Drosophila melanogaster: one gene and its partner. The protein of the gene in region 1 purifies or fractionates together with the protein of each later gene. This does not show direct contact. Each region holds a gene or a part of one and is shown on either strand. Other genes may lie near its edges.

What was found.
Region 2: the proteins of mldr (region 1) and scu purify together in Drosophila melanogaster (affinity purification with western blotting; one study listed by BioGRID). This does not show direct contact.

What each region holds. Positions count from the first base shown.
Region 1 is NC_004354.4:6,285,954-6,295,533, forward strand, and holds mldr (mulder), read left to right. Parts: upstream 1-5,349; 5' UTR 5,350-5,453; coding exon 5,454-6,715; intron 6,716-6,781; coding exon 6,782-7,154; 3' UTR 7,155-7,226; coding exon of another isoform or gene 7,227-7,791; 3' UTR 7,792-7,856; coding exon of another isoform or gene 7,857-8,185; 3' UTR 8,186-8,224; downstream 8,225-9,580. Other genes in the region: Top3beta (topoisomerase 3beta), read right to left, coding at 1-529, 869-1,616, 1,688-1,778; wuho, read left to right, coding at 2,201-3,475; Rpt4 (regulatory particle triple-A ATPase 4), read right to left, coding at 3,666-3,768, 3,832-3,972, 4,102-4,822, 4,886-5,005, 5,062-5,170; CG15892 (uncharacterized protein), read right to left, coding at 7,227-7,791, 7,857-8,185; CG15891 (uncharacterized protein), read right to left, coding at 8,651-9,100; CG3815 (uncharacterized protein), read left to right, coding at 9,553-9,580.
Region 2 is NC_004354.4:18,087,001-18,096,580, forward strand, and holds scu (scully), read left to right. Parts: upstream 1-4,258; 5' UTR 4,259-4,381; coding exon 4,382-4,390; intron 4,391-4,554; exon of another isoform or gene 4,555-4,654; intron 4,655-4,951; coding exon 4,952-5,710; 3' UTR 5,711-5,853; downstream 5,854-9,580. Other genes in the region: Ada3 (transcriptional adaptor 3), read left to right, coding at 1-582; Swt1 RNA endoribonuclease, read right to left, coding at 2,008-2,231, 2,295-2,924, 2,983-3,237, 3,317-3,422; RhoGAP16F (Rho GTPase activating protein at 16F), read left to right, coding at 8,265-9,453, 9,516-9,580. UniProt on the Drosophila melanogaster protein: Mitochondrial dehydrogenase involved in pathways of fatty acid, and steroid metabolism.

The DNA of each region.
Region 1 (9,580 bases):
GAAGGCCGACCACGTCATCACCTTGGTGAAACCGGCATCGATCAGCACACTGGCCGTGCAACTGAATGTCTCCATGCCAACACTCAGCTTTGCCGTCGTCACGCGGTACTTAAGATCCCTCGACACCGTGCCCATGAAGTGCCGGCAGATGAACTCGTAGACACGCCAGGTGTCGCGATCGAAGTCACTGCGGTTGCCCAGTTTCATTGGCGTGATGGGTGGATGGTCGCCGGCATCCTTGCCCTTTCGCGGCGTCTGAATGTCGCCCAAAATGGAGCGCGCCTCCTCACCGAAGTCCGCCGATGGCTTCAGCACGTGCAGCACGGCCGGCAGATCGAAGTTAGTCGGATACTGATTGGTCTCTGTTCGCGGATAGCTGATGTAGCCCTGCGTGTACAGGCGCTCAGCTATCTGCATCGCCTGGAAGGGTCCGATGCCCAGTCCGGAGCTGCAGATACGCATCAGTTCGACGGTGTTCAGTGCCTGTGGTTTGCTCTTGTAGGCCTCCTTGCTGGCCACGCTCTCCACACTGAAAAAAGAAAAGAGAGGAAGTGGTCACTAGATGGAAAGGGAAAAGATAGTCAATTCTTGGTGAGCTTTCTTAAATTCTGGGGATCAGCAGCATTTTGTTTGTTTGCATTCGTTATGAACACAAACAGAAATTATGCTAATTCGGCATGATTGCTTCTCTGGCAGATACATAGATGATGTAGGCACCAGATTTGGAAGGAATGGCGTAATGGGTGGAAAAAAAAGAGTCAGCTGTCTTTCGAGTGACCAAAAAGTGGTTATAAGCAAACGGAAAAGTGACGAAAGCATGCTTATTTATAGACTAGCCGTAGTGACAGCAGCCATGATTAGGTCTTACGTGGCCTTCTTGTGCTCCTTGACGCGATTCAGCAGCATGATGGCGATGTCCTTCTTGAAGACCCGACCGCGCGCCCATTCAAGCGTGACTTCCGGCTGGCCGGCGAGGAGCTGCAGATGCCAGAAGCTCTCCGGCTTAAAGGTCTGGATGTCGTCGTGCCGCTTCACGCAGAAACCGAGCGTGGGCGTCTGGCAGGGACCGTAGGAGATCAGCGACGAATCCAGGTCACCGTAGCGATCCTGAAAGAACTTCGTTTGAAAGCGGGTAAAGGCGCAGCCAATGCGCAGGTCCAATTCCTGCCGGGCGTCCACCGACTTGGCCTCGTTCTCGTTGGGATGCCCCAACGTCTCCATGGCTTTCTTGATGTCCTTCTCCGTGATAGCCGAGAAGTGGGCACGGTATGTCACCTGATCGCTGTACACATTGTTGATGACATGCTTCACGGCGTCCATCACCTCGAAGCAGATGTTCTCGCCCTCCTTGTCGCAATCCAGCCAGAGCACCAGATAGTCACAGCCGCGCGCCTCGTGGGCCAGAAATTTGCGCATGTTCTGCTTGGGATTCGTTTCCTTCTTTTCGGTGGCACAACCGAAGAGCTGGATGGGATCCACCTTGTCCCAGCAGTTGTACTTCTTATTGAAGTCCAGCGACATGACATGACCGCACACGGAAGTCATCCGGAAGTGGACGCTGCCCTCGTTCCGAAAGTTGCCCGTCCACTCGTGCGTGGAGCAGCCGTTGCCGGTGCCTGGAGAGGATTACATACAATTTCGGTTGCTTGCTGAGTTTGGGAGTTCGTGTTGATCTACTGGCACTTACCACGCTTGGCCGTGCAGCGTCCGTTTGAGAGAATCCCCGCCAGCGAGGCCGCCAGCGAGGGCTTCTCGGCCACCATCAGCACGCTCTTCATGGCCCAAATCCAAGTCCCGCAATCCAATGGCCTATATAATTGATGATGAGATTTTTGCAGCGCTTCCTCCTGCCCACTCGTTCACTCGCATGGGATTCGCCGGTTTCGTGCTGCACACACACTCACACAAACGCACACGCACAGCATAAACGCACACGAACACGGGCTAATGGATGAATTGGACTTCCTCGCTATACATCCGTATAATCCCCTCTATTTAACAAATTTCACGGGCATTATTTTCCAGCCAATAATACGGTCTCACTGCCGTTGGCAGCAACAGGGTCACACTACATTCTAACGAATGCATCAATTGGTCATACCGCAGCGTGCAGCCCTGGTGAGCAGATCTTATCGCTCGTCGATACCAGTAGTCAGTAGTTGTGCAAACCTATCGGTGGCTATCGAATCGAGTCGCAAGAATGTGCACAACAATTTCGTTCGCGGAACCCGAAATCGTGCTCGGCCATGGCCGCAGGGTGCTCTTCGTGAACCCCGACGACCTGCAGATATTCAAGGAGATCGAGCTGCCGCCCGACCTTGGCCTGAAAGGCCATACATCCCAGTCGCAGGAATCGTGTACAGCCGCAGCAGCCGCATCCACAGCCACAGCCGCATCCGGTCAGGCACCGGGTGGCAAGGAGCAACAGCTTGCCAATCAGCCAGAGGAGGGCGGAACCTCTGCCAGCGCCTCCGGTTTGGGATGTGCCACCAGCACATCGGTACAGAATGTGGCCTACTCGCCAGACGGACAGCTGCTGGCCGTGACCACCAGTGGAAAACAGAAAGCTCTCCTGCTCTATCGTTCACGGCCGGAGAACGCCCGCCTGCTCTCCGCCCGCCCACTGGCCCGGGCGTCCAGTGCCCTGCGCTTCTGCAGCGACAGCAGCTCCATTCTGGTCACAGACAAGACTGGCGATTGCTATCAGTACGACTGCGTTGAGGTGGAGGCTCCGCCGCGCCTGCTGTTGGGCCATTTAAGTGTGGTATACGACATCCTGTGGTCGGAGGACCAGCAGCATATCATCACCTGCGATCGGGATGATAAGATACGCGTGACCAACTATCCCGCCACCTTTGACATCCACAGCTATTGCCTGGGCCACAGGGAGTTTGTCTCAGGCCTGGCACTGCTCACGGAGCAGCATATCGCCTCCGCTTCGGGGGACAAGACCTTGCGCGTATGGAACTACATTCAGGGCAAAGAGCTGCTGCAGCACGAGCTACCAGCACCGGCGGTTCGTTTATTGGTACGCCAGCTGGAGCCGGAGAAGGTCTTCCAGGCGGCGGTGCTCTTCTACGAGCACGTGGACGCCCTGGGATTGTATCGCCTGGAGCGCAGCTCCGATGACACCTGGAGCGTGACGGCCACACAACTGGTTTGCGCCGAAGCGGGCTCATGGAGCATTAGCAACTTTACTTTAACCAGCGACCGGATCTACATCACCGGCGCAGAGAACGAACGCTTAAGCTTGCGCGTCTACGACATCGCAACTGGCCAGCCGGCGAGCAGCGGCGTGCCCGAGGGCTGGCTGAAGATGGTGCTAGACGGATTGGGTGCCAACGAGGAGGGCGCACCGCCATTCATTCCCGAGGACTTGTCCGTTTGGTTTAAGAAGCGCTTCGACAACGTTAGCGACTATTTGGAGCGCAAGAAGCGGCGCATCGAGGAGCAGCAGCAGCAGAAGTGCGGCTAATCCCCGGGCGCCCACATACCCAAAGGAAATTAAATGAACCTAATCTTTACATAGCATTTAATTAGCATATGGAGAAGAAGCAACGGACTTTGTGTGACAGGCCCGTTGTGGGCATAATATATATATATCTGTATATGTGTGTAAATGGTGTATGGTTATCTCTATGGGGGGCGGTGGCGAGCACTGGCTCCTAGACGGGCTTGTAGTCCAGCTTGCTCTCCAACTTCTTGTTGTCCGACACCTTGCGCACCGCCTTCATGAAGTCCTCCTGGATGACGTACTCCCGCTCCGCACTGGATTTGCAAGAATAGTTACATTTTAGGGAGCTTATCAAGCGGTGGAAACTTCGCACTTACCGAATGGCAAAGAGACCCGCCTCCGTGCAGACATTACGCAGATCAGCGCCATTAAAGTTGTCCGACAGCTTGACAATGGCCTCGTAGTCGATTTCGCCGTGCTTGGCGATCTTCAGTGCGTGAATCTTGAGAATTTCCAACCTAAAAGGAGTTGGGGTTTTACCATCAGTATGACAAAGTATGTAAGTATCTAATCTGAGAAATCCCTATTCATATTTCACCAAGAAGACATCAAAGATAAGAGCCAATCAATGTGGGAATATAGCTTACCTAGCCTGCTCGTTGGGCAGCGGAATCTCGATCTTCCTGTCCAAGCGACCCGGACGCAGAAGGGCAGGATCGAGGGTGTCCGGACGATTGGTTGCCATGATCATCTTGACTTGGCCAAGCGAATCGAAGCCGTCCATCTGGTTGAGCAGCTCCATCAGGGTGCGCTGGATCTCGCGATCGGCAGAGGTGCCCTCGGAGAAGCGCCGACCACCGATAGCGTCGATTTCGTCCATGAAAATGATGCAGGGCTGATGGTCGCGGGCATAGTTGAACATCTCGCGAATGAGACGCGCACTCTCGCCAATATACTTGTCGACAATCGCCGAGGACACGACCTTGAGGAAGTTGGCGTCCAGCTGGGAGGCCACTGCACGGGCCAGCAGGGTCTTGCCGGTGCCAGGAGGTCCGTACAGCAAACAACCCTTCGGTGGCGTGATGCCGACGCGCAGGAAGAGCTCCGGATTCAGTAGGGGCAGCTCGATCACTTCGCGCAGCTCGCGAATTTGGTCGGTTAGGCCGCCGATGGCCGAGTAGGTGACATCCCCGGGATCCTCGTGCGACATATTGTACACCAGTGGGTCCACCTCGCGCGGCAAGTAGCGCATAATGGTCAGTGTGGTCATGTCGAGGGCCACACGAGTTCCGGACTTCAGCTTGGCTTTGTCCAGCTGCCGGCGGCAGCCGACCACGTAGCGGGGTCCATTGGTGGCCTTCACAATGACTGTGTGGCAAGTAAGTAGTTAGAATAGAGGCAATCTTAGACAGAATATGGGAGAGTTCTCACATTTATCCTCGGTCAGCTGCTTCAGCACCTCACCAACGATCTGTCCCACGCTCTGCAGGGCCTTTAGATCGTTCTCCGACTTGTCGTACAGCTTGGTCAGATCCTTGATCTCCTCGCGCTCTGAAAATAGCCAGGTTAATACGCATTTGCTGGCGGAGATCAGCGGATAGACGAACTTTCTTTGAGGCGTCCCTCGATTTCCTTGTGCTCTAGCAACTTCTTTCGGTACTCGGATAAGGCTTTCACCCGCAGATTGTCCGGCATCGGTGTGGCGGTCACGGTCATCTTGTTCGAGGATTTACGCTGTACTTTCGGCTGTGCAACGCTTAAAATAAATTAAATTCAGAAAAGTAGTGAGTTGCAACTTTTGTCGCAATGCAGTGTGCCCGTAACGTGGCACGCAATAAATGTACACTTACTTCGGTATATTTCATTTGGCATATACCAAATGCGGTGCGTGCACTGGCTAAGTGCAGCGTGTGACTGGCCACACCGCCAGCCGGCATAATTCTTATTGGAATTATTGTGTTAAGCGAGAATAATTTTAATCTAAATTTAAATTTAACTAATGTATAATTTACGCCTGCTACGAAATCTCCTGCCGATCGCCGGGCACGCCCATCCGCGCTGGCTGGCTAGCCAGCACAAGCGGCGCCCGCAGCCGGGCAGCCTGCCGGCCGATCGGCTGGACCAGCTGCGCAGTGATCTCTTCGAGCGTCGCCATGAGCTGAGTGGCGCGGAGTGGACGGAGGTGCGGAGGTCGCTCGTGGACGGGTACAAGCACATCAACGGGCACAACGTGGACGCCGTCATTCTGGGCGTGTGCAGTGCACCCAACCAATTGTCGTTGGCCAAAAGCTATGTGGAGTTCCTGAGGAGCAGGGGCTCCAAACCGAATGCAGCGACACTGGGTCGCCTGCTGAGGGTCTACAATGCCGCCTACCACGAGCGACCGCTTAGCGAGGCGGAACAGTCGGAGATACTGCAGATCTGCCGATCATTGCAGGCGGAGCACGAAACTCTGGACGCCAGCAGCTGCGAGAATGTGATTCATGGACTGGTGGCCACCAGCGGCGATGATTGGCAGCGCGGACTGCCGCTGCTCGAGATGATGAAGGTCACCAGTACGCCCAGTGTGGCCGCCTACTCCGCGCTGGCGGAGAAGGCCTTCAGTGTGGCGACACCGGAGCAGGAATTGGCCTGGCGCCTACTGGAAGAGATGGCCACGGCACGGAAGCCGCCCAAATGCGAGGTCTATCTGGCGCTGCTCAATCGACTGGCCAACGAAACGGCACAACTTCCTGCACAGCTTAGCCTTTTGTTGCAATTCCTCGAACGCCATGAGATTCTAGTCAGCCAGCGGGTGGCGATACGATTGCAGGAGCTGTCCAGCCAGGTGCCCCAACTGTTGCACACCAGGACCACCCATTTGGGAGGTCTGGGCAAGTGCCAGTCCTGCCAGCAGCACCTCCAGCCGGTGGCCATCAGCGATGAGGAGTTCCGGCAGCTAAGCGAATGTTTTCTGGAGCGCGTGCTCATACGACGAGACGTCTTCCAGCGCTCCACGCCCGAGGAGGTGGCCAGGTTCAAGAAGTTTGTCGAAAAGACGGCGCCATACGACTGTGTGATCGATGGCCTCAATGTGGCCTACTCTACGGGCACCAAAAAGACGCCGCAGCAGCTGGCCAAGCTAGTGGCTACGGTGGTGCGTCATTTCCGGGAACAGGACAAGCGTGTCCTCGTCCTGGGACGCGAGCACATGCGCAACTGGTCCAAGCAGGCCATGCACTATGTGCACTGCAATGCCAGCCTCTTCTTGACCAGCAATCTGTAAGGGAATTCATCTCGAATTGGAAAGGGATAGGTAGACTAATTCGTTCGTTCGTTTGCTTATAGGTCGCACGATGATCCCTTCCTGCTGTATGCCACGCTGCGCAGCGGCCAGGAGACAGACTTCTTCTCCCGCGACCTGATGCGCAGTCACGCCTTTCATCTGGGCACCGAGCTGAAGCCCATCTTTCGTCGCTGGCAGCAGGAGCACCAGTTCTCCCTGGTCACCCAAACGCAAACGGGTCAGATTATAGTCAAGGAGCCCGTTCGTCATCGGCTGTGTGCCCACCAAGTGGCGGACACCTGGCATGTGCCCTACTGCGCGCAGTACACGCCGCATCCCACAGACAGCTTCGAGGTGCCCGCCAACTGGCTGTGCATCCAGATGAAGGAGCAGACGATACCCGCCACCAAAACCAAGACCAAAACAACGAGGTGACCATGTGAGCAAGACTTCTTATGCGAATAAATAGTAGCCAAATGTTAACACGAATACACTGAAGGAGCCGTCCTAGTCGCAGTCATAGCGGGTGCACTTCTCAAAGGCTCCAAGACCCTGCGGCTGGGGCTTCTTGCGACGGCGCTCGTACAGCAGCTTCTTCTCGGCGGCGCACATGAGCCGACGCTTGATGTGATTGTCCATCTCGAAGTCCAAGTCGGCCGGCTTGGCCAGCTCGTTGGGATCCCTTGTGGCTGCCGAGTCCAGCGCCTTAATGATCAAACTGAGCAGCGCGTGCGCGAGGCGATGGCACACATCGTACTCGATGGCATCCTGGCTGGTGTAGTAGATGGCCGACTGTGAGGTGGGCTGCACACCAATGGCCAACAGGATGTTGCAGAAGATGCCGCGCTGCATGCGCGCATACGGATCCACCAGCTGCGGCGGAATGCGCATCGTTGTGGCCAGATGGGAAATGAATTTGGCGAACTTCTTGATGAGCACGTTCAGGTACTGGGTGCGGCACTGGCGCTCCAGCTTGGTCAGCATGTTGTAGTACAGTTCCTGCTTGCGCTTCAGGAAATCCTCCTTCTTTCGCTCCTTGGTCTTGTTGCTCTTAAGGATCTGCTCCAGCTGTCTGTTTTTGGGAATGAGATGAGATGATTAGATCGCGTTAGCAACTGATGCAAGCGCTGCACTTACTCCGTGGTAATGGCTTTGTATTTGCCCAGCATGCGCTTGATCCGCTTGGCCCGCAGCTTCGGATCGTATACATCCTTGAACTGCTCGTAGTTGTCGATGAGCGTGTGCAACTTGGGCTTGGACAGGGCCACGTCGTAGGGCTTTACCTTGGGCGGCAGTGTCGGCTGGTAGGCCATGCGCCGCACATACAACTCCAGCTTGTCCAGTTCCTCCTCCCGCCGCTTCTTTACGTTCTCCTCTGCGCACACATCCGGATCCTCCTCCTCGGGCAGCGACTCCGTCGACGTGGGCATCGGCTCATCCCAATCCGAGACATTGGAGCTGGCCATGGCTGAAGAGTACTACACGGAACTGAACTAAACGAAACGAAACGGAACGGCTCGTCTCGGCTTGGTAAATTTGTACGTATTGGAAATTTAGCTTTGAACTTGGTTACTTATAAACACAAAATAATGTTTCGAAATCTTTTTTGTGTACGAAAAATTTGGGTAAACGGGAGCACTAACAATTTTATGTATTCACGCTGCGATAGTGGATCACCTTATGAGCAGTCCCAGTTGAAATGTGAGCGAGGTAAAACCAAAGGACTACTTGATAGTCAGAAAAGTTCTACATGTTTTCAAAGAAATGGAACATTAATTGTATGGCAACAAGATTAAGGAATTCCAATGACTCACACCACTAACAAGCAAAAGAGCACTGCATATGTGGTTTACAATTAAATAAGCAACGTTTTATTATATGTAATGTAATGTAATGTATGAATATTAACCAGTGGATCTATGGATCTAAAGCTAGTAACACTCGTTCTGCACGGATCGCTCCAGGGCGAAGGTGTACTCCTCGGCCAGCTCGTCCACGGACAATTGGCGCGTTAGTAGCGCCAATATGCTGTCCACCTGCATTTGGGTGCTGGTGTAGCGATCCTTGTTGGCCAATCCGGGTGCCAGCTCGAATGGAATGTCCTGCAAGTAATTGACGGGTCCTTGGGCTCCGGGCTGCTTCACTTGATCGCTGCGCGGTCCTGGCATCGGCGGATAGGGCAGATAGCCCGCTGGCGGCATAGGTGGATACATGGAGCCGGCTGGAACACCCGGATGAGGAGCATCCGGTACTGGTTTGCGCTCTATGAACACGAAATCATCGACACTGGTGCCTGGACGGGTTGCCTCCGCCGGTCCCTGGATGGGCTGGTCATCCGTGGGCGTTTCCGCGGGCTTGCGTTTGCCAAATATCGAAAACATTGCACTATTTTGTTCTATTGTTTGGTAAAATCAACTGGCAAATTGCGTCGTCCGCCAGCTGTGATGCTCTTTTAGCGGGCGTTGGTCCAAAACAGCGAGTGCTAGCTAGTGGTGTGCCCAAAAGATGTAAACATATAGGTGTCTATAGTGAGGTCTGAGCGAAATATGAGAATTTTGGGTATTTAATTTTTAACTATTTGTTTGCTTGGGTATTTTTCGGTTACGAATGTGTATACCCAATATAAACTTTATTAATTGCAAGTAGTTAGATTTGGAGTGAAATGCAGTCTGCACTGAATTTCCGTTAATCGCCTATCGGTGGGCGCGCAGTGTGGCCATTCGCTCGTCGGATGCGCAGGGCTGGACAACCGACACTGCGCCCGCCTCCGTCGCCAAGTGAAGTCGCTCCGAGATTGATTGTGTACACCGGATAAGAGGAGCGAGCGAAAAAGATGTCAAAATTGGACCAGGACCCGAACG
Region 2 (9,580 bases), about 12 Mb from region 1:
ACGCTGCCCAGCGAACAGGCCGCCGTGGGCGAGCACAGCAACAGCACCACGAGCAGCAGCAACGAGAACACCCACTCGCACTCCTCGTCCTCGGCAAATGCTGCCGCAGCAGCTGCTTCCGGGAACTTTCGATCTCTCGCCATGATGAAACACGGCGTGGGCATCGAACAGCGCCTGAAGAAGACTCTCATCGAGAACGGACTGATCGATGCCAGTGAGTTTGCGGCCCACGAAGACGTGGACGAGGTGCTGATGGAGATCAAGCGCGTAACGACCGAAATCAGCACCATTTCGCAGTTTAACAGCGAGGAATTGAAGCGACTGCGTGCCGTTGCCAGTGAGGAAATCAAGCGCATTGCCATCAAACAGAAATTGGACATGGTGGACCAGGAGATACTCGAGTGCTACAAGCGAATGCTGCAGTATCGGGCCAAGCGCAAGGGCCACACCATCGAGGAGAAGCAGGAGATACTGCGGCTGACCAACGAGCAGCGCCTACTTGCGGATCAGCTGGAGCGTATGCAGATGCATCTGCCCTGCATCGGCGGCTCCGGCAACTCCCTGTTAGAGCCAAAGATGTAGGACAGGAGCCTGGCCTGGGGCTGGTGCCAGCTAATGGCCATGCATCAGGCAAAGAGGCAGGTCCGCGACGCTAGCCTCAAGCTGCAGTGCGTCTGAAGGAGCTGCTCCTCCTTACTCGCCACTCCTTTCATTTCGCCAGACTGTAAATTAGCCACGCTATTCGACACGTACACGTAGCCTCTAGTGTCCGCAATCCAAGTTGTGGACGTTTTGGGAAGATGCGCTCATGGTGGCGGAAAATGTTTTGCATAAGTTTTCCTCGAGTTTTGGCATTCGTTTTCCCCAAATCGAACGCCACTTTTGAGTCGTTTTCGACTAGCTTCCAAACCCGTATTCTTATCTTCGTCACCAGACTGTACATTAACAAAGATACATTAGCTCATAGAATGTAGTGTTCAAGATTAAAGTGAAATTAATTATTTAGATAAGATCTTCAAGTGGCGGAGAGTAGCGTTTGCGTATTTTAAACTGTTCTTTTACAAAATCATAATTTCCCTTTCCTTGCTTAGTAACGTATTCCGTATTCTGTAAGCCTACAGTTTTTTGCCAATTTGTTTGTAATTGCCTGAAAATTAAATGGATATCCGTAGATTTTACATGCTAAATGCTAAATTTGATTTTGTGTACATAAAAGTGGAGGGTGAGATTCGCATTATTCGCTAAATGAACTGAAAAACTTTCCGCTACTGGAATTTCCCAAAATTTTACGAGCACGTTGTTTTCCTCATGTCTTTCGCAACTATAAATATTGATTCACCCTATTTAACACTCCCAAATACATACACTTTGTATAGCTTAAGTTATCGCGCGGCAATAAAGTCGTCACTATCGAGAGTAAAGCACAGAATTTTCCACCATGGGAGTGAGTTTGGGAGGAGAGAAACCACCGCGCTGGGCGAACGCTGCGTACGCTTTGAGCTCGATCTGGCCGACGAAGCGGGCAAGTGAACTCCAGCGGATGTGGGGAATCCTCTGCCGTTGCTTCGATCTTGTTTGCCCAGCCGATAAGGCGCAATCAAAGTCGGCAACTCCAGCGTACGGCTAATTAAAGCCAAACAAGCGAGCCGGCCATCTTCGATCGGAGGAAGCCCTTCCGGGCCACGCGGATTGGCTATCTCTAGAACGCTAATCGCCAGGCAAATATATCCAGAAACAAACTTTATTATACGTAGCAAATGGCAGTCAAATCTGATCTTCTAATATGTGCAAGTTTTTAGTCTTGGGTGAACACGTCGTCAGTGGCCTTCCTCTGAATGTATGCTAGATGATGTTTGTGGGTATAAAGATTCATTGTACTTCATGTATGCCGCGGTGCATCTTGCTTGACTGGTCGATCCCTTTCGCCCGCCACCCGATCCCGTATCACAAACGCAGTCACAGTCTTTCGTATACTAAATGTAAGGTGGGAGCTCGGACGGCATCGAGTTAATCGCCGAAGCCAGCGAACTCATCCACATAGGTGGACATCAGATCAGAGCGACAGGAGACCTGAATGTTGGAGGCATTGGCCTTGAGCCGAAGGTTCGCGTCGTTGGTGAGCAGGATCATGTGGGGAACCTGCGCCTGCAGCTGCAGGCAGCAATTCAAAATGCTGTCATCCGGGCAGTCGATCTTGATCAGGTGATCCGCCTCCTCCAAAGCGGATTGAGCTGCAACAAAGATAATACACATAGGTAAGTTCCAACGATTTACATACACAATCCACGACCCACCTTGTATTTGAAAGCTTTCGTCGAACTTGGTGTTCAAAAAGCGTATTGCTCGCATGGCAATCACACGCTGCAGGCAGTCCGACTGGTACTTGCTCTTTAGCTTGTCCAGCTCTTTGATTACTATGTACGGAAGGTACAGCATGCTGCCCACCGTGCCCGGCAGCACCACATCGGTCAGTCTCTCCACGAACTTGTGGTTGTGTATGAGGACGTTGGTGTCCAGCACAAAGTACATGTAATCCTCAAGCCTTGGGGGCAGCTCCTCGGCATCGGCCGCCTGCAGCATCAATATAGTGTCGTCCTCTTCCTTAGCCTCATCCTGACCTTTCTGTGGCGCCTCCTCTTCAATGGACTCCGCCGGCAGCATCAATAGAGTGTCGTCCCCTTTCTTAGCCTCATCCTGATCATTCTGTGCCGCCTCCTCTTCAATAGACTCCTGCCATTCCATGGGCTCGACCTCCATATCGCTGGCCGTCGAGCCATCAAATGCACTTGGATTTGTGATGTTGCAGGCTTCTGGTTGTTTTTCTATCACCTCTTCGTTGATCTTGGCCACAATATTGTTGTTGCGCTCCTCATATAGCTGCTTCTGCTGCAGCGAAGCTCTTAACAGCATGAGACGCTGGTAGGCTAGGGAGACGATAAGGAGAACATGGGATATGAGTAACTATATGCACCGGGCACTCACCAGTTTGGGTACGTCCCGCCTTCAGGCGATTGGCATCGACCAGGGCTTTTGGCTTTTCCCAGGCATTCATCGCCACCTTAGGCGGAAACTTCAGGAGTCGCTGGGGCGTAGATGTGGACGCACTTGATCGACGAGATGCGGAGGAACTGTGGGTGATCCGCTTGGTGGTCCCCTGCTCCTTCTCGTTGTCCTGCACCCGCTTTAGTTGGCCCTGCAGGCGCTTGAGGCGGTCCTGGGCGGGATGCTGGCTCACTCCTTGCCATATTGCGTGGAAAAGTGGAGTTGAATCTTGGTTCTGGCATTCTGGCAAACGCGCAGTTTGCATGGGTTTTACCATTTGACGGACGTGGCGTGCTGATGATCCTAACCAGCTGGTCGTCGTCCAACGGCCTCAGATTGGAAGACTTTGGCGTGTGCTTACTTTCTCCACCGAGCGACATATTGTGTTCTTTAACATTTGATTTCTAGGAAGTACTCATTTATTTTGTATTTCAATAGGCAATCTGACTTAGAGGTGGAGAAACATCGATGACATCATCGATATCATCGATCTTTTCAAACAATCACAAGCATCGATGTTTTTCGAGGAATCATCGATGTTCTTCCATACATCGGAGGACAAAAGTATATAAATTGGGGGTATAAATTAAATTCGGATATAACTTTGTTATGATTTATTTAAAATACTCCTTATTTATATAAGCAATATTTTTTTTTAATTATTATTTATTAAGTGAAGTAATAAGAAATATTAAAAATGAAAATAATCTTAAATTAAACAGAAACAATGTTTTGTTTTTATTTAAAGCATAAATGTTTATGTTCAAATTAATTTAAGTTATAAACCATAAAATAAATTAAATGAGTATATGTAATTCTACGGCATACATTTTGGCGTGGAAGCTAAATACGAATTCATACAATGAATAGCTTATAACTAAAATTTACTGTAATAATCTATAGCATAAGTTGTTTTAAGCCATTGAATTTGAATAGCTAAAGATTTCATTTATAAAGACTTGAATGCTGCCACCTTAATTGTTGCAAAAACATGTTCTTGAAATAATAAGTTGCCAAGTTAGTTAGCTTGCCAAATAAAATCTTCACTGTTTGCCTGCTCGAGGTAATTTATATTTAAAAGTTCTTTCAAAATCTTGCAAATTAATTGCTTGGTAATAAACAAATTGATTTAAATTTAAATTTAAAAAAAAACTCAAAATTTAAAAGCTAAGCCAATGATAGGAGCCCCCTAACCGGTAGGCAGTATTTTCAAGCGGCGCACATACGGTCACACTGCACGGTTTCGAATCGCTTAACAAGTTTTTGCTTAAAAAGCTTTGCCGAGCACTAAGTAACCACCGCCTTTCGCACCCACAACACAACGCCACCAGCCAGAACAATGATCAAGGTACGTGGGGTGCTGTAAATAAGGATCACACTGCGATTAGACGGGAATTAGTGCAGCAAAAGCGGCCGATGACTGCGCGGCCGGGGTGCAAAGTCCAATTGGGATGTGAACTCGTGTCTATTATAAACATGGAGTCCCATAAATAACTGTATCTCTGCCCACAGCGATGTACCTTGTACCCAGCCAACAATTAGCATTACTTCCCCACCGAGTTATACAATAATACAATGCGGCTTATCGGGAAACTGGACACCGAACGCATCGGTCAGCTGCTTTCGAAATAATAAGATAAACCGGCATCGGATTATAAGTTTATCTGCAAATTGAGGATCGTGCTATTTCTATACTAACTTTAACGGACAACTTCTCAATGTTGTTAAAGATAAGGATCTCAGTCCTACAGATCGTATATTTTGCATTCTATATGCTTATTCTGTTAAGATCTCTAAACATTGATGTTGTAGTTGGGATGAAATGGAATGGAGTGCATTTTTAGAATCTATTTCCTTGGATATATACATATATATATAGTTTCTAACCCCATGCCTTTCCCACCCCCAGAACGCCGTTTCCCTGGTGACCGGAGGAGCCTCTGGACTGGGCCGCGCCACCGCCGAGCGCCTGGCCAAGCAGGGCGCCAGCGTGATCCTGGCCGATCTGCCCTCCTCCAAGGGCAACGAGGTGGCCAAGGAGCTGGGCGACAAGGTGGTCTTCGTGCCCGTGGACGTGACCTCCGAGAAGGATGTGAGCGCCGCTCTGCAGACGGCCAAGGATAAGTTCGGTCGTCTGGATCTGACTGTGAACTGTGCGGGCACAGCCACCGCGGTAAAGACGTTCAACTTCAACAAGAACGTGGCGCACCGCCTGGAAGACTTCCAGCGGGTGATCAACATCAATACCGTGGGCACGTTCAATGTGATCCGTCTGTCCGCCGGACTGATGGGCGCCAATGAGCCCAATCAGGATGGACAGCGCGGCGTGATCGTGAACACCGCCTCGGTGGCTGCCTTTGATGGCCAGATCGGCCAGGCGGCCTACTCCGCCTCCAAGGCAGCCGTGGTGGGCATGACCCTGCCCATTGCCCGTGACTTGAGCACCCAGGGCATACGTATCTGCACCATTGCACCGGGTTTGTTCAACACGCCTATGCTGGCCGCCCTGCCGGAGAAGGTGCGCACCTTCCTGGCCAAGTCCATACCGTTCCCGCAGCGCCTGGGCGAGCCCAGTGAGTACGCCCACCTGGTGCAGGCCATCTACGAGAATCCGCTGCTCAACGGCGAGGTCATCCGTATCGACGGTGCTCTGCGCATGATGCCCTAGATCCGGCTGAGCACTGTCTTGGACCTGTGGAAGTGGCTCGATCAGTTTGCATTTATCTATTGTCTAGTGGTTAAGCTGAAAAGTTTTATTATCTGTCCCGAAATTATGTAATAATTGCTATTAAACACACAATGTCACATTTCAAATTTTGGAGGCGCGTCTGCCTGCTGTTCTTCAACACTGGTTATATATAAGGGATAGCTGGGGTGTATTGGCTGCACAGGTCGTTGCAACAGGTGGATTAATTTTTTGTAAGTCAATTTTATTACTGACTTACTATTTGTGCAATTAATTCTTAAGCAACCATGTATTTATAATAAGAAAATAGTTTACTATCATATTTACAAAGTTGGTCTGAGCTTAAATATTTATTGAATAAAAGGGTATTTCTAAGTCGCTAGCCCTTAAGATTTCCCTGTTGTTCCCGCAAGTTGGCAGTTCCGTTTCAAAATGTAAACAACGAACATTTGAAAATCGCTCTTCAGAAGATAATGCCATATCAGCGCTGCTGAGCCGGGAACTTCGTAGGGCAGCTGGCGGGGATCAGGAGAATGTACCCCCTGTCCAGCAAACGGATCGCTTGGGAACACAAGACGCAGAGCAATTTAAGTGGAAGGAATCCCCGGCAGGAGATGATGCACTGGTGGTCAATGAGGATGCATTTTAAGTGAAGAAGAACGAAATGGACACTGTGCTGGACTGTCTATACAGCGATAGCTAGAGCAGTCCAGCAAAAATGGGGGAACTGTGAGTCAGCAATATATTTCAATGTTTTCCCAACTTTAGTTTCCGCTTTCCAGCCTGCTGCGTCGACTGATGCTCCAGTTTCTCCATGTGGAACAGCAGTCTAAGCTCTGGAATTTGGACGGAAGGAACCACCGAAAATATCGCAATGTAAATCTGCTAAATGAGGTACAAATATTTTGGGGAAAATCTACGTCCAGAGCAGATCATAGATTCATCAGCCATCCAACGAGCGTTTTCAGTGTCGGCATCTCCAGATGATTTGGGACATGCAGAGGATATCCTGTCACCGAAACTGGATCGGCTGAAGCTGTGGCGCAATAAAATGAAAATCTCCGCTCGATTCCTCGCAGCTTTAATGTTTCATTTGCCTCTTGAGGACCACTTCCCACCAGAAGAAAATGCGCCGGCAGCAGAACGAGCGGGAGAGCAAGCTATTTGCCTCCTGTTCTCACTACCACGGGAAATTTGGGCTATTGGAGGAAGTCGTAAAGAACGTGAATAGCTACATGGTTCATTGGACCAAGCACGACGATAGCCTGCCCTTCGATTGTTCCAGATGCCAAGCGACACAAGGAGCTCCACACCGAGCACAAGAGATCTCCAAATGATTGCAATCGAAATCAGTCGTAATGGAATGTAGGTAAAAGCACCTAATTTAATTGGATTATCACCATGGTGTGCCATGGAACCATTCAAAACATATACTTACACTTATCACACCATTTGCGATTAATCACCACCGGATATAAGGCACTCGGTACTTCCTAAATATAAAAGCACTACATCACGACCGATTGGCTATATCTCCATGGGCTGGTCAAGGCCCTGACTTGCTCCAGTTACCCAGAAATTGCCAAAGTCCAAGTCGGCAGCATACAGTAGCGATACGAGTGTTGGATATATACATATATCGTGTGCATAGGAGAATAGCAACTCCTCCAGTGGATTTCACACATAATCGTCAATTCTGTGACAGCCAGTTATATTCGTATATACATGTGTGCAGAGAGTGCTTTGGCATTTGTTTGGTTCTCCGGCTATCTTATCTGGAGTGTCGGAGTGGCCTGCGAGTGTGGAACTATTGGAATTGCGATAAGCGCCCACAGAATTCCAAACGCTCGTCCCAGCTAGTCAGTTGAAAGCGGAGCTGCCTGCGAATTATCCACTATCCGTGACCGACCGGCAATCGCGCCTCTGATACTGCGTCATCCGAGCGCGCCAAGGAAAAGTTTGATAATCCGAGGAAAACACAGAATCGGAAGACCCACAAGTGATTCGTGGTCAACTGGTGTACAAGGTGTGGCTGCTGTTGCAGTTGCAACTTCATTGGGCAACATTATACGATTCGGCAGGAAGAGGTTCTTGAAAAGCGGAAGAGTTGGGTGGTTACCACAGTGGGCACTGGCTAAGGAGTATGGCTTCCATTGAGAAGCTGCACTTTATATAGGGATTTACTACAGTTTATCTAATTGTATCTTATATTCATATATTTTCATATATATTTCAATATTGAATATTTCAAGTAAACATAATTTGTAATTCCCAGGGCTCACTGTGCATTTGCTATCTGAACTTAAATTCAATGGTCATAAACTAATTATAAACCCGATTATTTCTTTTTGCACAGTTCCTACACTTGACGTCACTGGGAAACGGGTGGAGAAGCAGGAGACGAAGGGAAGGGCTCTCCCTCCACTGGTCAGCTGCTTCACTGGCGCGGCGGCGATAAGCCCAAGTGCAGCCAATCGAGAAGAAGCCAGAGTGGAAAGGGTGTTGCGAACAACCCGATAGCGCCAAGCCCAGCATCATGCAGACGACGACAAGTCAGCGGCCAGTAACGCCTGGCACTCCAGACTCGGCGCATATCGTAATCGGCGCCGCGGGATTCGTGGCACACGAGAGACGCCAGCCCGGAAAGACCCTGATGAATTGCTTTCGCGATCGCTCCACGACGTCGTCGTCATCGTCGCAGGCCCAACACGCCTATGTGCGCGGCCACAGCGTCACCTCGAGCACTCTGTTTCGCCTGGAGGGCAGTGGTGGCTCCAATTGCACCTTGGACAAGGCGGGCAAGCAGGATACCGGGCGGCCCGAGGCGGTCGTCCTACTCAGAGAGCTGAAAACCAGACCCAACAAGCTGGCTCTGCTCAAGAGCAGCAGCAGCAAGGATCTGACCCGCCTGTTCCTGGACGATTCAACCAACACAGCCGTGCTGGTGTCCAACACCAGTATAGATGTCTGCTCCTCAAATTCCAGCTCTGGCGGCAGTCCGGCGGTGGGCAGGTCCAAGTCCGGCAGGGATCGCCGCAATGGACTGGAGTGCTGCAGCAGCTGCTCCAAGCGTTGGCACGATCTCAAGCAGCGTATGCACACTCTGGAGCAGGATCTGCTCGTCCAGACCACATACAGCCAAGAGCTGGAGCAGAAGGTGGGCGAGATGAGTCGCCAGTTGACGGAACTGCTTCAGGAACGCGACAGGGAGAGGGATAAGGATAAGGCGCGCTTTGCAGCCGCAGGCGGCGTTGCTGCGCCTGGCAAGCGGACTGCTCACGGCAGTCCCAATGTCCGACCCTCGCGCCTGGTGGCCTGGATGAACCTGTCCAACTGGTTCAAGAGCAGACCCAGCGTGGAAACGCTGCGGGAACAGCGCATCTTCTTCGACGAGCCCTGCTTCGATACGGAACTGGAGATGGTCCTCAAGCACGACCAGCACCGCACTGTGCCGCGCATCGTTGTGGATTGCTGCGATCTAATCGAGCAAAAGTACCGCAGATCTACGCAGCCCATCGAGGGCATCTATCGGCAGTGCGGCGACTACAATAAAATCCAAACGCTGCGCTTCAGCATCGACGCCAACGACTACGATTCACTGCGTCAGCCGGACGTCGATATACACACGTTGACCGGTGTGCTTAAGCTCTTCCTGCGCGAAATCAAGAGTCCGTTGGTCAGGGTCAACGAGGCCAAGACCTTCATTGGACAGCCCAATCAGTGGTGTAAGTTCGGAAGGTATTCTTCTTCAAGTGCCCACTTCTAATTCTTCCTTTCCTACGCGCAGTGTTAACCGATCTGTCTGCGAAGTTGGACTCCCTGAAAAGACTGATTCGTTCGCTGCCGGAGAGC